Drosophila melanogaster: one gene and its partner. Changing the gene in region 2 together with the main gene of any one other region gives a genetic interaction. Each region holds a gene or a part of one and is shown on either strand. Other genes may lie near its edges.

Region 1 (8,586 bases), 9.7 Mb from region 2:
TGATACGGCTACTGGCTGCAGAAATAACACCTCAATCGATTGGAATAATAGCTCTCAAGTTGGCATGAACTATGGCGAGTTTCAAAGACGCCAATTGCTGTTGCAAAAAATTCAACAGCAGCAATATCAGCAACAGCAAGCTAGACAGCAGAATCAAGCGAATTTATCTTGGTTGGAAGATGAAGATCCCATTGAATTTGTAAGTTATCGAAATCCGAAATCTCTAAGTCTATGCAATTTTTAAACACTTCAAACAGGCACCTGATCTCAATAGCACGAGAATAAATCAAGATGATCGTCACCAGCAATCCCGCCTGCAACCAAACTCAATTTGTCAGAAATGCAACTCTCGCCAGCAACAAAGTGTATGTAAAAAAATTATTTGTATTTACTAATTTTAAATATTTTTGTATACTTTCAAAAAGGCGTCACGATCAATTCTTGAGTGCGATCAAACACCAGAAATGGTGCGTAATCAAACGAAGGTATGTTACCATATCCAATGTTGCCAAATTCATGATATTTAATATCAGTATTCTAATATAACATTGTTACAAATTTGTTCATTTCTCTTTAAAATCCAGTACGAAACCAAAACTAATGAAACAAGTTATCTTCAGCCACCAGAGACTTTGCGAAACGCTAGATGTAAACCACAGGCGAACCAGAGTCTCAGAAACGTAAGTTTAATTATGCCAGCAGTTGCGAACTTTATTCAAAAGTTGGGGTTTTTGAATGTGGTGTTTAAAAGCCTCATGAAAAACAATAGATCAAAATCATAATTTTAAACCCCTTTCTTTATTAATGCACAATATAAGCAGTCGCAAGATATTTGCCAAGATGTCTCTATGAATCAGATATCCAATTGTGAGCAATCTATGAGTAAGAATACAAAATATTACTCGGATCCCCCCGAAAGTCAATATAGTTGCTGTAGTCGTGGCTCTACTGCCTGTGACAGAAGTATGAAAGATAGTCAAAACTATGCCTGTTGTGCAAACACGTCTGCCTCCGGAAATCAAAGACTTTTGGAAATGTCTCAAGTAATGTCAGGGAGGTCGTGCTCGACTGTAAGTTCATAATTTACGTGGTAGCCATGTGAAGTAATCCTTGTTTTGATAGCCAACTTCGCTGGAGAAAACTAAGCGAAATTCTTCCTTGCGAGGACGTTCAATGCGAGTGCCCGTTCAAACACGTAGGTTGTGTATAATTAAATTAATTTAATTAATTATAATTTATTATTATTAAATCTCTCTAAAAGCTGAGGATCGTTTGGTTGAGCGCATTCAGAACGAATATCACGAAACCTTTGTAAATGATCCCTATTGTCCTGGCGTTATACAAGCCAGTCTCGATGGAAGTGAGAATTTCAACGAGTACTCCAGGGAGATTGCTTTTGCAGGACCCATTCCGGAGAAACCATATCCGGTGGATCCTGTCACCATGATAGAAGCAATCAAGTTGCGCATCGACCACGAGCGCAAAGAGATACGCAAAGAAAAGAATCGAAGTGAGGAGGGAAATAGAGATTTGAGAAATCAATCAAAAGAGCGCAGGTCAAGGCGTCCACGGACAACAATCAGTGAGGAAATTGATTCTCATTTTAGTCCGAAAATTAAGTCGGAAGTCAATAGAAGTGTGGCTGCCTTTCTGAAAGCCGAGACCGAGTATCGTACCAGTTTCGAAAGAGTGAGTACTATTATATTTTGTGTTTATAAAATGCATACACTACTTTTCATTCATTAGTCAGACAACGTAATTAAATCGTACCTCATTTACATCAAAATTCGATTTCAGTATTGAATAAAAATTTTCTATTTACAGGATTCCGCCTTTGATGCGCATATCAATCGCTTTGAAACTAATCTCTTTGATGAAAGAATTAAAGTCCATTCCTATTCAGCCACAACAACGCCCACTCATCGGTAAATTTAAACGGATTTTCAATCGGAAAAATGCATTTATGCGTCTCACTGGACTTCATTTTGCTCGGGACACAATATTTTTAATGAATGTAGTGCGTTTCGTATCAACAGAGCCAAAATATGAGTGATTTATTATTTTTTGCAACTGAACCATTCTTAATACCAACAGAAGTCACTACAATAAAGTTTCAAAAAAGTCCCCTATTAATCTAGAAATTTATCGGTCAGGGCAAGGAAGTGAATATTATAAAACCATTCACTTCCATTCGGTTCAAACTACTTCAGATTGGATCACAACTTCTGACCGATAAGGGAAAATTGTTAAGCAATTAATCAGACTTATGAATGACTTGGAAATGAGCAATCTATACACGTATAATCTTTATGGTACGGGATTCGTCAGACTCTGCATAAATAATTTAATGTTTGCTATTTATGGATCAAATGCATTGTTATACAATGTTGCGTAATTAAATAACACTGAAAACGATTAAAAACAGTAATAAATAATGCGCCTTAGCGGTAAACATTTTGCCAAAATCATCGGCGGCATAGCCGAAAAACAAACCTCACTGGAAAAAAATAAACACATTTACTAATTACTACGTAAGCTTCACATAAACTAATTGTATATTATAACACAAAAAAAAGTTTTTTCATTAGTGTGGAGTGTTAGTAACAAATGTTAGTTAACAAAAGAGATTTAAAAAATATAAATGACTAAAAATGGTTTAAAGAAAGCCGTAAAAGACCACAAAAAGAAAAATGTCTTTGGTTCGTTGAGCACAATATTGTGAATACGTACGTACATATATCACGTGTGATAACACACTCTCCGACACATTCAATTTTTTAAGAGACACAACTAAAGAGAACTAAAATTTGGACATAAAAGAAAGCTGAGTTAAAAATAAGTAATCAGCTGGTGGTTCTCAAAAACACAAAGACATCGCTGCACGCTCTTTTTTTTTAATATCTAGTGATTTTCATTCAGCAGGCTGATTTTACAACAAATAAGCAAGCATAACAAAGTGATTAAATCAAATAAACAAAATGTTAAATGGCCAATCGGTTGGAGTTTTTGTTGTTTTTAAATGGCTTAACGTGGTGAATATTCATAGATTAATTTCGCAGAGTTTGCATAAATGAATCAATTATGTGACTTTTACTCCCTTGTTTTTTATGCCCTTTGTCTTGCTTATTGTTTGCATTCAAAAATATTTATGGCGCATAATCATCAATTGAGTTTCAGCTGTATTTATCTAGTGTTTTTTGAAAATCTAAATTTCTTGGCTATCTTTAATTATACAATATTTGTATTTGATTTCAACACCATGTACATAATCAAACGAAACTTTACCACAAGCGTAGACCACACAATATGACTTAAAATTTCAGATTCCGAGCACTTCCTCGCCGCGATCTTCACGCCAAAAGTGCCTCCCAACGACTGATTCCAACGATCCAGAACTCGAACCGGAGAACCTCCCTCTATGATCCCTCGTCGGAGCGCCGACGTCGACGGCGGACTTCAATCAATCGCTCGCTGCACAATCAGCCCTTGGTTTTCTTTCTTCATGTTTTATCAGTGGGTTAGAATTAATGAGAAGGCAGCAATATCACACAATATAAAGATAAAGTTCTCGCTCCGGTTCTCTTTTTAAAACCAAGAGACCGGCCTGAAAACAAGAAAACGAGGGTCGTATTTGATGTTCTCCACATATATATACAATCAAACATATGCATACATAAAAATGGGTTTTATACAAATTATTATTAGGAAAAGCTAGCACTTATAATAAGGATATTTATTTATAATTAATATAGAACATTAGCTTATCAAATTGCTGGGGTTTCCTTAAAGCTACAAGTTCAGAATAATGTATAATACTTGTTTAATTAACCAGAAATCTTAAATTCCTTAACAAAATTAGCGGATATTTCTGTATATGTGCATATGTATTACCTATGAAATAGTATTTAATAATATGTTAATTATTTATTTGTTTTATGATAAACGAACACATTCTTAAGGTACATACATATTTTCCTCACACTTTTTTCAAATTCCATTCAAAAAAATCAATTATTCAATCAGACAATGTTCGCAAATGGTAATGTACTTATATATGCAACTTTTTTTTTGTTTTATAAACAAAACGCATTTGCTCCAGAGATGGGAAAAATAAATAAAAAGTTTGGACCACCCATCTTGCAGCAATACTCACAAAAAATTATGGAAAAGAACACAAACCTGCCCGCGCAGATAGCAATGATCTATAAAATTTTAGTGATATTTTGTCATGAAGAAGTATAAAAATTAGTTATCTGAATTCCGAAAAGTACAAACAAAAGCAGTTTTAAAATTTGAGTAGCAACATTAATTTAAATAGGTAAGTGCTTAGGAAATGGGTATCTCTTCAATACAAGCCGTTTTCCACGTTGAATACAATTAGAGTATAAATATTCGAATATTTGTGAGACATGATTTCGTTAGCGAATTTTAACACACCCCGTGCATTCATGAATCCCTTTAGAATGACTGCAGTGCAAACTGTTACTGTGTTTATAATAAAATTTCTGTGATTTGGCTTAGGTTTAAATTAATGTTCTCCCAACGAATGTGTTGCACATTGCCCAGATAGTAGAGATATATTTTTGGCTCTGCTATTTTTGGTCATGGATGTGCAAATGTTTAAATGTGTATATGGAAAGCAAATAAAATTCCAAAAGGATTACAAAACTAAGGAGGACAAAGGAGAGGTAAACACGAGCACAGGCATCCGGAGAACGAGAGTCATAAATAAATTCATAACTGCATCCCACGCAAATTTCACAGGGCAATTGCTTTGGGCCAGAATTTCCGAGTAAAGCTGATTCAGATCATGAGCACTGTCTGAGCTAATGTATGAATGGCTTTACGGTTATGGCCGGGTGTGTTTGTGAGGAATGGATTATGTGGACTTAAATGAATTTATGGCATGTGCTAATCTCGAGGGCTTAGAAACACCCATCCGCCGTGTCTATAATATAATTATAGCTATTGCATGCACTTTATGACTAATTATTTTTGAAGAACTTAAAACCAAGTGAAAGGTAGTCATCAGTACTGACTGCACTTCAATCAGCGCGTTTTTTTATTCACATTGATTAATTGTTCCGTTCGAACTTATATTTATATTTTTTGTATACGAATTTTATACAATCATCGATCAATTAAATAGCGGAATCAAGGGATGTGTGAATTTAAGAAGCTCATATTAACACAAACAAAAAAAAAAAAATAAGCAGCCCAGTTCATTTATGTTAGTAATGCGCAAATATTTGAAGAATGAATAATATTTTCTTTTAAATTACAAAACATTCGCTTTAGAATGCCTTGTAATATTTTCAAGTGTAACATATGAGCTCACTTAATTAGCACTGCGAAGTTTCACTAAGATCATAAAGTTCTTTACTTAACTCTGATTAATCTGTGATTTTTGCGGTAACCGAGATAGTATATGTTTATGCCACCAATTTGTGGCAATCGGGTCTTTGCGCAAAGCTGATACAAAATACGTTTAGTCAAATAAACAAAAGACCACCGCTATACAAAATTGTTTAGCTGTATAATTAGTGCACTCGATGATTGGCGAGTGGGTGTGGGAAAAACGGGATATTCGATGGGAACTTAACCAGCCCAGTTGCGTTGATAATGGGGTGAATTTCCAGCTTGCAACATTTTGCGGTAGTTTGTTAGATGGTGCAGCATTGGAAACGGAATTTAATTCAGTTACACGGAGAGTGCTCCTTAACCTCACTGAAATAGACCTACAATAGGGCAAGGGGTTCACGGAAGTTGATTATGCGTTGTTTTGGCACTTAATGTGATGAAATATGCAGAGAGCCATTAGCCCAGGATGGGATTGGGAAATTGTGGCGGTAAATAGTGGCAGTACACGATTGCAAAACGCACAGTGCCTGCAGTAAATTATGCAACACGATTCGCTAACTTGCTTCAATTTCGAAGCAAACATTTGGTTGCGAAGGAATAATTTCCAAATCAAGGTTTAATTTTTGTTCAGCTGCATATTTTTGTGCGCAACTGGAAAATGATTTGGATCGCAAAGTTTAAACTGGCTTCTCACAGAAATTATCGTTTCGTTTTAGCCGCAGGCAAATAGAAAACATAGAATTTTTCCAATACATACATACGCAAAAAAATAAATAGAATAAAATATTTCCTAACATATTTCGTTATAAAATAGAATCGATCGGTAGCTTAATAGTTAATTAAAATTCGAAATTGGTTTATCAAGGCGCACTATGAACCATTTTCGCACATAATCAAAAGCAGGCGAGCAATTTATGAGTGCTGTAGACAGATGTGCTCCCTCTCTTTCTTTGTTTGCTCCTCTATCTCTTTCATTTAACGTCAAAGGCAATTAGCATGCAGAACAAGTCGAAGCCATGAATGCACATCTTACGCACACACATGCCTGACATTTATGTGAAAATGCATAAATATTATCCAAATACAGTAGTACTTATGTTGGCTTAAGTGTGCATGACTGCAGAAGGTGCGCGAAATAACAGCTAAGCCAGGCATTTGCCAAATTAGTGCAGCTAAACTTATATTCTATACACCTTTTCTCTATGTTCTACGTATGTATATTATTTAATGTTTTGCTGTCAGTTATTGGCTTATAACAATGTTCCTACTGTCAGTTTGTGAAATATGAGAGGCTCATTGAACTTTTGTTAGCACACCATATAGTTTTGTGACGCACCTTCTCACATACATCCTGGCTTGCTTGCATATTTGTGCGGTGCTCCTCATTTCGAAACAATACCAACAACACCAGCAACAGAAGCGGTAATAACAGCAGCAAAAACAGCAAATAGTGCCAGCTGCAATAAGCCCGCGGCACTGCCGCCAACCGCTCCAAATGTATGCAACATTATGCGGCATGTGCACTAAACAAGTCATGAATTTCAAACAGTCGCCGGAGATCCCGCCCCCAAAATCCCCCAACCCCATCCCCTCTCCCTTGGCGACCAAAATACGCTCCTTGGTGGATTCTTTGCATGAGTAATAAATGCGGAAGGGGTACAAAATGCAACCGCAAATGGCGTGGCATGGCGGTGTGGTGCGGTGGCCTGAGTTTTCCTTCATTTTCCGCACTGACTTCTGCCATCGGCGCAAGAGACCGCGAAAATCGCTCGCCGCCTGGTTGGCACTTCCGCTTTTCATTTGCCTCATGTTTAATACATCCACGCAGATGCAAATGGCTGCAGGCGTGTGTTCGTGTGTGAGTGCCACTGGCGCAAATGCATCACCGCAAAATGCCCCAATAAGTATGCTAAGCCAGGCTCCAAATATACTCCACTGCAGTGCACTGATGCAAGCTTATCGGACTCGGAAACCCATAGATTTCAGATTGATTTGACTTGGATTTTTTTCACAATTGAGAGATATGATTAGCTTCATATACATATAGTTGGCGTGATTACAGCTTTTTAAGCAAATCCATTAAATAATAGTTTCAATTGCAGCTCGATTCACAACGCAGTCCTTAATCCATCTAAGATAAAAATTTGTAGTAAACTTAAGCAATAGAAAAAGTAACTTTCAAACGATTTTTATTTTTAATAGACAAATATTTAAATTAGGTCTACATCGCTAGCCATAAAAGTCAAATTTAGGAGGGAACTATTTTCCAATTGTGTTTTATTCATTTAATTTACTCGATGCAATCGTCAGATTCATTTGTACAGCAGCAATTAAATATTTAACAAACACATGTACTTTCATGTGATTTTCCTTTCTATTTCAATTGAAATTTCTGTGCTCTCACTAAAAGTGCATTTAATTGTTTTTTGGGGTTCTATCTGAATTTGCATATCCGAGGCAAGTTGCAAGAAATGTAAAATATCAGGCAGGTGAAAATAAAAAAAAAAATGAACTGAGCAACTCCTAATTGCGTGCTTGCTGCATGCGACAATTTGCTACCACACAGCTACAAATATGGGTAGATCTGAAATAGAATGCATGTAAAGGAGGTGTACGCGAGTGTTGGTGAATGCAACGAACCGGAAGTACGTCACACACACACACACACCCAAAACGTATACACCCGCAGAAGAGAGCGGGAAATACTCGTGAGTGAGCTGATGCGAGGACCCAGACAGCGTGTATTTAGTTTAACAGCTTCGCAGGCAGCGACATGCGACACTGACACTACAAGTGTTAATGCCAGCCACGCCCCACCGCCCCCACATCCGCTCACAGACACACCCACATACACACACACATATTTAGCCGCTGAAGTGCGTGGAGCAGTTTTTGCATGCTGCAAATAAAATGATGTTAAAACATTTGTAAGGCCAAACTAACTAGAATTTCGTTGGCACTACAAACGAACCCACCATTTTACACCCTTATGGATATGCACCCCGCATTCGTACTTGAAATTCCACTTTCTTGCCTCCGCTGCGGCGGGGCAAAAAACTTTTTAATCAAATTTTTCAATTTAGCTTCGTACATCGTTAATTAAAAACAGGGCTCCCTTCGTGCCAAATCGTCGGCCCTTTTCCTCTTTGGGCAGAAGTTTGTTAGTTTGACATGTGCTGCAGTTAGTTGCCTTTAATTTAATTTCCTCAACGCCGCTTAAATGTT
Region 2 (8,586 bases):
GGCTCTGCAAAAAAATGCGGTTCATTAAAATACATTTATAGTGGTATATATTTATATATGCATACAAGCAGTTTTAACCATATCTTTAAAATATGAAATTTAAAGAGAAAGAACGTTGAAGGGTTCTCTGAAATTTTAAAAGTTCAGGATCTGTCGCTATTCGTTATAAAAAATTAAACTTTTACGGAATAAATAGCTTTGTACGTATTTTTTTAAGACATGCTTGTATTGTTGTTAAACTAACTCTAATAGCATGCCCGTTTTTGGAATACCATTTAATGCTCAAATACCTATACGATTTATTTCAATTGGTTAATAAACAACGAAAATTGCGTTACGGAGTCTAAAACATAATTTCTGTCTGAACTGAAATTTAGCTTGGGTCAATTACCAACCCCTATGAAAGCTGAACTTTTGTTTTCTTTTGTGCTGCCACTCACCTCAACAAGTTCAATGGTGGTGCTGCTGGCCACCGCCGACTTGACAGCACCGCTCCCAGTTCCTGCACCTCCTCCTCCTGCTAAGGCGCCTGCAATGACCGACCCTCCAGCGGCATTAATGGGTAGCACAATGCCCTTGGAGGACGAGGACTTGCGCAGCGGCGTCATCTTGATGCGGGTTTTGGCCATCTCCTGGCGTTGGCTAAAGTGTCTGGAGCAGATGCGCAGCTTTTGGAGGCCGCCGAGTTGATCCACCAGTTTATAGCTGACGCCAAAGTGACGCAGCCAATGATTGCAGCTGCACGTAAATAAGAAAAATAAGATATAACGACTACTATTACTAACCACCGAAAGCTTAGTTCAGTACGCTTCTTTTGGAGGGGGAAAAAGCTTTTCACACATTTTCCATGTTAACGCAAAATGGAAAACATACCAATTATTGGGAGAACAAGAGTCCACGAGCTAGTTGCGATCGGTTGCGCAGTTCTTTGTTTAATGATTAAACTGACAAAATGAAACTGCATTGGAGTTTCGTTCTGGTTCTTGCGACGCTTTCAAATTAGATCCGACTTTCGCTCTCCGCTCTCTTTATCGCTCTCTCTTGGAAAAGTTCTTGAAAAAGTTTTCGCTGCAATTAAGCTCTTTTTATGCTTCTTTTGCGAGTGCGAACGAGAAGCAACGCTTTCGTACGCTCCTTCTCGCTCAGCGGAAGTTTCGCGGGGAATTGTTATTGTTTGTTGTTGCTGTTGCTTTTGCTGCAGCTTCTGCTCAACTTCCCCCTATTTTTGTTGTTTCTGCCGATTTGTGGAAGATGGGGGAATGAGGCTTATTTTCTTTTTGCCTTATGCTTATGGCTAGGCGAAACAACAACAACAATTAAGGCCTTTAGGGTGGACCGAATGCGAAATTATTGTGCAGGTCAGGGACAGCAAAATCATTTGCCTACTCATACCATATTTAATCTGACTTACTAGCCAAGTTTTAAATAAATTTTAATCGCTTGAAACCATTTTCATAAGAATGGTTTATGCTTAACTTACAAAACCAACGTACAACTGTGTGAAATTAAAATTATTGTCATAATTCACTTTAAAATTTCATACTATATCTTGAAAATTTTTAAACGGAACTCAATGACTACAGTTAGATAACCAACTATTATAATTAAACTTAGCAAACGTCATTCTTATTTCGATTTTGCTTATAAAAGTGACTTTCACTTTTTTGGTCTCAAAGTACATTTAGTGATAATACCGACGAAAGGTAAAATATGAGCTTTCCTTGATAATAAATAAAGCTTAACATTCTGGGGTTTCCTCGGAAAGAGGAAGAATTCGCTTAACAGTGGTCCACTCTAAACTCCATGGCCAATGCCAAGTAACTTTGGCAGACGGAACTCTATTTTTTTTTTTTGCGCACCAACTGCAGAAACTGGAGATGAAGAAGCAGCAAAGAAACACAAAATAACTTCACTTCACGGCCAGCAGAGCAGAGCCCCACGCGCATTTGTTGCATTTACAGGAGAGCGTGAGAGCTATAAATAAATGGGAGTCGGAATCTGGGACCTATCCCCCGCCCACCCACTGCCCCGCCCACATCGGCATTATTGCATTTCTGATTGCTGCACTGCACAAGTTCTTAGCCGCCATGGCATTGAAATATTCCTATGAAAATGATGCACTTTTATGCGAACCGAGAAAAAAACAGAGAGACAGAGACAGAGAAAGAGAGGGAGGGCGAAAGTTCAATGACCTTTGACTGCGAGTATCGGTATCGGTATCAGACGAAGAAGAGGAGCACCGAGCGGGGTCCAAAGCTTTGGATTGTTATGGCTTTAATGGTATGGTGTTTAAAATATAGAATGAGCACTTGTGATTCGCAACAAAAACAAGCTTCGGTGATCGAATCGATCGGAAAGCTCTCCGTAGGCTCTAAAAACAGGTTTAATGTGGTTCTTGGCAGGAGGAACCTACATATGTATGTATGTATGTGTATAATACTCACCGATCGGTATCGTGGACTGGAAAACGACGCAGATCATTGGGCTTTACATCCTGGCAACCCATCAGACAAATCCTGGAGGAAGGTGGCAATACTGGTTCCGGCCCATTCGCGCTAGGATTTAGCGACACAGCCTGGCAAATCCGAAGAGTGGTTATCGTATTCGTCATCTATCAAATATTATTTTAAAATTGGATAAAATCACTCATTTTAATTTAAGGTTATTGCTTCTTTTATCATTTTATTAATAAGCTCTAGTTTAGAAAACCATTAAAATAAGTACATACATATATCTTATTTATTTTCTTATTTTCTTTCTTGGAATAAAAGAAAACCTAGAGTGACCCCAAGAACTTTCGCTCTGGCGAATAAAAGCTTGCTTTGCTGCACGTAGAAAAGCACCAATAAGATGCACATCCACGGAAAAGCTTTTTTGGATAACTTGTGCTTGCCTTTCAAAGCCGCGTGGTCTTACCTTTTACAAAATACTTTGAAATTAAATATAAACATATGTACCCCACATCGCCATTATTTACCTATGCTTATCTTAGGAAAACAGATACATATGTACATAATGAACTCACCTGTCACACAAAGTCTCCTTTTCTCTGACCGGCAGTTCTGAGTTTAATAACCCCACGGCAAGAACTCTAGGTGAAAGCTTTCGGTTACGGAACTTTGAATACAATTGGCGCCGGTTTAAGCGATCGCAGCTAGATACGATTAAATGAAAAGGGCATCTATCTTCTAATTAGCGGTATGCTATGCGGCTCCGATTACGATTCTGTTACGTTCTGCATTCTATACTGCGCTACGTCACTCGTGGGAGCAGACTGTCGAAAGCTCCGCCTGCGTCACGCGAAGGCACCGCGCGAAGCTCGGTTTGGAGAGCGTCTCTCCAGCTTTGTCGAGCTTTGTGCCCATGCGTGCGAGATCTTCGCCGGAAAGCTCTGACAAATTCGGAATCAGGCTGAGATTTCAATCGCGCACAGTAAAAACTACCATTGAAGGACATTAAAAAATAGGTATTTCTTTTATGATTTATTATTTTAATGAGTCATATTTAAAATAATAGTGTTTTAAAGAATAAAGTACTGCGCAATGAATATGTATCAAATCGAAGAAAATAATACTTCAACTACTACTTAATAATATGATGTCTGCGCACCTTTCAATTACGCACCTTGTAGTTGATTGTATATAATATATTAATTGTACATTGCAATACTTAAATACCACTTAACTCTAGTTTTATATGCTTTTCGAGAAATTAGCATTTAGATAGCATTTTTGCTTATCAATTATCAATTTGTAGTGTCATAAATTTGCAACATAGCTAAGCCGCCAACTTTTCCATCCCATAATTAATTAAAAGTGTTAAAAGCTTTCCATAAATAAAGATACCAACAGCTGCAGGTGTTGCTTTGGGGCGTGCGTTCAAATGATTTTTGTACATTAATTACGGCCGCACAATTCGCGATTGGCAGCCTTCATTTGGATATTTAAAAGCCAATCAATTGGCGGTTCGACGAAGTCATAAATTTCAATGGGCGCTCATCAGACGAAGGAGGCAAGCCCCTCGAAAAAAAACAGGGGCGTCGAGCCGCAGATAAGCATCCACTTGTCACATCACTCATATTTCCAAGACGTCAATTTGCATTGTCTGTGGAAATTGCAGCCTGCAGCTTGCAGCTTCTTGCTGTCACATGCCAATTGACCCATTCGCCTGTTATGGCCAGGCCAGCCTCAATTTCTCAAGTGCTAAAGCAAATAAAACTTTAATGGCTAGTTTTACACTAGCCAAATTGTCAATTGTCGTGGCCAGTTGATTGCGTTTTACGACCGACAAACAGCAGCATAATTACGGATGGACCTGCACTGTTTTTTCCCAAGAACAATTGTGAAAACACAAACTACTGAGTGGGCCGCATTCGAAAACGCGCTCAGTCAGCATTTTAATTTCTGTCTGATTGAGCCGAATGACTCGAGCTGGCGATGAATGTAGAAGTAGAAGTGTTTGCAGGCGATGCCAGACGGCGATAATTCCCAAGGGGGCCAGGCTTGATCATCGCCTGTGTGGTCTCGCTGTATCTGTCGGTCTGCCCGACAGCCGGGGGCAATCGTTAACTGGCAGCCGATTATGTGATTGGAATATTGACAATTAGGCGGTTACAAATTGATTTACTTGTAATTTTTCTGGCGCCCCTGAGAGGGAAGCTGGCTCGTTAAAGCAATCTAATGTATGCTCCAAACAAATGGTGATCATTGTGAGGGGCAAAAAAAGTTTTAGTTGGAAAAATTAATCGTTTTGCTGAATGAAATTGGACAAAAAATCTTTGTCAGAAGTGGGATTCGAACCCACGCCTACAGAGTAGACTGCGACCTGAACGCAGCGCCTTAGACCACTCGGCCATCCTGACTCTCAAGAGCCGTAAGATCAAATTTTCTTTTGGTTGGGGACCACATACTGAAACGGTTCATTCTCAAAACTGAAAAGAAGTGTGTGTTTAGCACAAGTAAAAATAGTTTAATTGGTATTAGAAAAAAATTGTGGAAAATAGAATAAAAGAGTATTGTCAGAAGTGGGATTCGAACCCACGCCTACAGAGTAGACTGCGACCTGAACGCAGCGCCTTAGACCACTCGGCCATCCTGACTGTTAAACTAACGAGTGCCAATTTCCAGTTTGGTCAAGAGAGAGTATATTCTTGATTTAATAATTGTAAAATACTTTGGATTTTAGAAATTTTTATTTTTGTAGCTCAAAAAATAAAACGAAAAAATGGCAAAAAGTTCTTGTCAGAAGTGGGATTCGAACCCACGCCTACAGAGTAGACTGCGACCTGAACGCAGCGCCTTAGACCACTCGGCCATCCTGACATTTGTTGTTCGGGTGTCAGAAGGCCAATCCGATTCGCTGGCATTGTACTGCGGCAACATTAAGTATACGCCGTGTATTACGAATGTTTGAAAATCACACTTAACACTTTGAACTTGCTGCCCACACTCGAATGCACTCCCGATGAATTATTATAATCGGCACCCCTGAGGCAAAGACAAATTGCCGTTCGTCGCGGCATGGAAAGGTGTGTACGGACAGACAAGACACGAAATCAACATGCAGGCGATGGAAATGATAATAAAAAGCAGGCGAAATCGGGTCAACGTCATACATCACACTGTGCAGATTGGCAAGTGTCACTTTTTTTATATATTTCGATTTGTTGCCCAACAAATGACAGGCAACAAAATGGCGATATTCATCGCAAAGGTTGCTTAGGGGGAGCTGACGATCGAAACGGGAGTAATTAAGTTGTAGTTTTTCGGTTAGCCAAACTGGCAAAATGTCAACTAGCCCAAAGTGCGGACCGCTTGACATTTCACACGCAGCTGCTGTTGCTGTTACTGTTTTTGTTTATGTTGTTGCTATTTGTTTGTATATTTTTTATATATGCAGCATTTACTGGTCGCACGCACTTTCAATGCATTTCAATTAGTTGTAGCCGCAGCACAGCCGCTCCACTTTGACTTTGAGTGGCCGTACTGGACTGGATATTTTCCATTTTTACAGACTGATGGCAGACACTTGATAGGCCTGAGCGTATGTTAATCGGCCAACTCGACCTGACAGCCCAAGTTAATTAAAGTTTTCGCTCCCAACAGCCACCCAGCGTACATAATTCCCATTAATTTGCTAGTTAGCAACGCAGCCACTGCAAAGACCACCTCAATTGCAGTCGACTCATTATGATTAATGATCGGCATGTACAAGAATTGTTTGAGGACCGCGGTGACCCACAAAAGGCGACACATTTTCCAAGCGTGGCCAACTAGAAATAGAATTAGCAAATTGCCCGAATGTCAATCAAGCGTCATCAATCAAAATTTGTGCTACTGTCAACTCGATCACAATACAAATATAAATAAGCGCAGCCCAGCGGGCTGCAACAGTTGGGTGCAGCTGAAATATTTAACTGGAGGTTGTAAATTACCATAACAATTCTGAATTCGGTATTCTGGGGAGCTATGTATGTGGGTCAACCAGAGGAAAATCCCCTCCCGGCCAAAACCCCATGATATGTCAGCAGAGTTGTTAGCACAGCCGCACAAAGGTTAAACTGAGGCATTGAATGGTTTTCCAGCTTCGAACTGATGCTAATGGAGTTTGGATTAAGTTAACACCCGATTACCTTGGGCCGTCTTTCCATAAGTTCTTTAGAGCAAATCATTTAATGAAGATATTGTCTAATTTCCGAAGATTTAATCTGCTTTAGCATCAGGCGTTTGGGGGCTGGGAAAAGTGTTTAATTCACGGTGATACCAAGTGACAAATGGCTATTCCACTACAGTGGACAGCCAAACGACACGCGTTTATGGCCGCTTTGATTTATTGGGTTCTTTAATATAATTGCATTCATATTTAAATGGGGTTTTGAGCTGAGAAACAAACTAATCTGAATAGTTCAGTTTTATGGAAAATAATCGTTAAGGTTGTCGCTTTCAAAAACTAAATGATTTATAAATCAATTATTATAAATAAATTATGAACAAAACTAAAATGATGTATAAAGTTTAGAATTTGCCCATTCCACATTTCAATTAATATCCGAATCCATATGAAAATCTCCCCATAATATTTCAATTAGAGTTCTATTGATACAACTCCGTCGTGGCAATGCTCCTTTTCAAGTTCAAAGTCAAAAACAGCCAAAAAATAAATACGTATTTAAATTGAAGGAGGGGTCTAAACAAACCGAAGACTCTGTGGAGCATTAATCAATTGTGGCTCACTCTTCTTTTTGCCCTGGCTATTTTGTCGCTATACTTTTCTGCCAAATTTGAGCAAAGCTAATTAACAGGTTTCATTGTCTCGACTTTGGCGGCTCTGGCGAATACCATATTTTTGTATTTTTCCCATTCTGTTGCTCAGTGTTTTTACGATCGCAATAAAACAAATTATTGTGGGGGCGTGTTTGTTGTGGGAGGGGAAAAAATACGAATTTGCATATGTATATGTATATGTATGTATATGTATATGTATGTATGTAGAATGGGGTGGAGAGTTGCAGGGGGTGAAGTCCAAAGAAAGCACCTGCAAACAAGTTGTAGAAAAAAGCCAGTTCCAACTGCTTGTCTTAAACACACTTAATTAAAGATGCAACTTGTGGTTCTTAAACATTTAAGTTCCAACAATAACCCACGCAGCCATGGCGGCAGTCATTAAATGGCAATTCACTTAAGGGCACTATTTAAATCTTAAAGTACTGTCGATTTATTTATTATTTAATTTACTTAATTTACGTATTCAAGTTCTCATTAACGCATTAAAAAATCAAGATATTGAAGAATTTTTTAAATTTATCTCTTTCCAAAAAATGTTTACATATTAATGCGATTATCCTTATCATTTTTAGTTTTCTTATTAATTTTCCACGTTTTGCATTGCACGTGCAGCGGTTTCAGAGAATCAGAGAAAAAGAGACGGAGAACAGATAGAACTCTCCCACGCATAAAAAATTAAGAAATTAAAGCAAATAACAAACACAAACAAATTATTTCTCTCTCTTTGTTTCTCTGAGAGCACTTCTGCGATCAGTGCTGCCAATTTTGTCTCAAATAATATCTGTTTTAAGTTACGCTAATTTTGTGGTACATTTTTTTCATATTTTACTTTATGTTTTGTTTATGCGCTTGCATCCAGCTTATTGATCTCGGGTGCCACCATTAACCCTGTACTGAAAAACTTTATTGTTATGTTATTGAAGTTTTCCAATTTACCTAGGTTAATATTAATGTATACTTCCCCTAGATTTATCAAACATTTATATATATCTTATATCAAAGTTTGACTTGTATTTAACTACCGTGCATATGTTTCATGAGATCCAATCGATCTGAGAACGAAGCCTTTTGTGACGGAAAAAAAGCCAAGTCGGCAGCACTGCCCACGATCACGATCTTTGTCTTTGCTCGCCGCTTTAAGCTCATTTCTGCTTCATTCCGCCTGCATTCGGCTGGCGGCAGCGTCGCAGTAAACAACGCGCGTGTGGAAGATCGGCAAAAGCGGAGGTCGCGGTGTGTGCCTTTGTGTTTTCCATACTTTCTGCTGCGGATTATAATAATAAAACGAAATGCGGGCTATAAA

What was found. Genes that interact genetically often act in the same process or in processes that back each other up.
Region 1: of bip1 (region 2) and Adgf-A, changing one suppresses a phenotype caused by changing the other (phenotypic suppression), as found in Drosophila melanogaster (one study listed by BioGRID).

What each region holds. Positions count from the first base shown.
Region 1 is NT_037436.4:17,760,777-17,769,362, forward strand, and holds the start of Adgf-A (adenosine deaminase-related growth factor A), read right to left. Parts: upstream 3,383-8,586; 5' UTR 3,286-3,382; intron 2,129-3,285; exon of another isoform or gene 1,930-2,128; coding exon of another isoform or gene 1,825-1,929; intron 1,690-1,824; coding exon of another isoform or gene 1,262-1,689; intron 1,196-1,261; coding exon of another isoform or gene 1,123-1,195; intron 1,071-1,122; coding exon of another isoform or gene 819-1,070; intron 681-818; coding exon of another isoform or gene 585-680; intron 486-584; coding exon of another isoform or gene 426-485; intron 366-425; coding exon of another isoform or gene 258-365; intron 200-257; coding exon of another isoform or gene 1-199. Other genes in the region: CG32181 (uncharacterized protein), read left to right, coding at 1-199, 258-365, 426-485, 585-680, 819-1,070, 1,123-1,195, 1,262-1,689, 1,825-1,929.
Region 2 is NT_037436.4:8,055,436-8,064,021, forward strand, and holds the start of bip1 (bip1), read right to left. Parts: upstream 3,279-8,586; 5' UTR 3,026-3,278; intron 2,659-3,025; exon of another isoform or gene 2,612-2,658; coding exon 2,445-2,611; exon of another isoform or gene 2,066-2,444; intron 941-2,065; exon of another isoform or gene 874-940; intron 774-873; exon of another isoform or gene 739-773; coding exon 441-738; exon of another isoform or gene 366-440; intron 5-365; coding exon 1-4.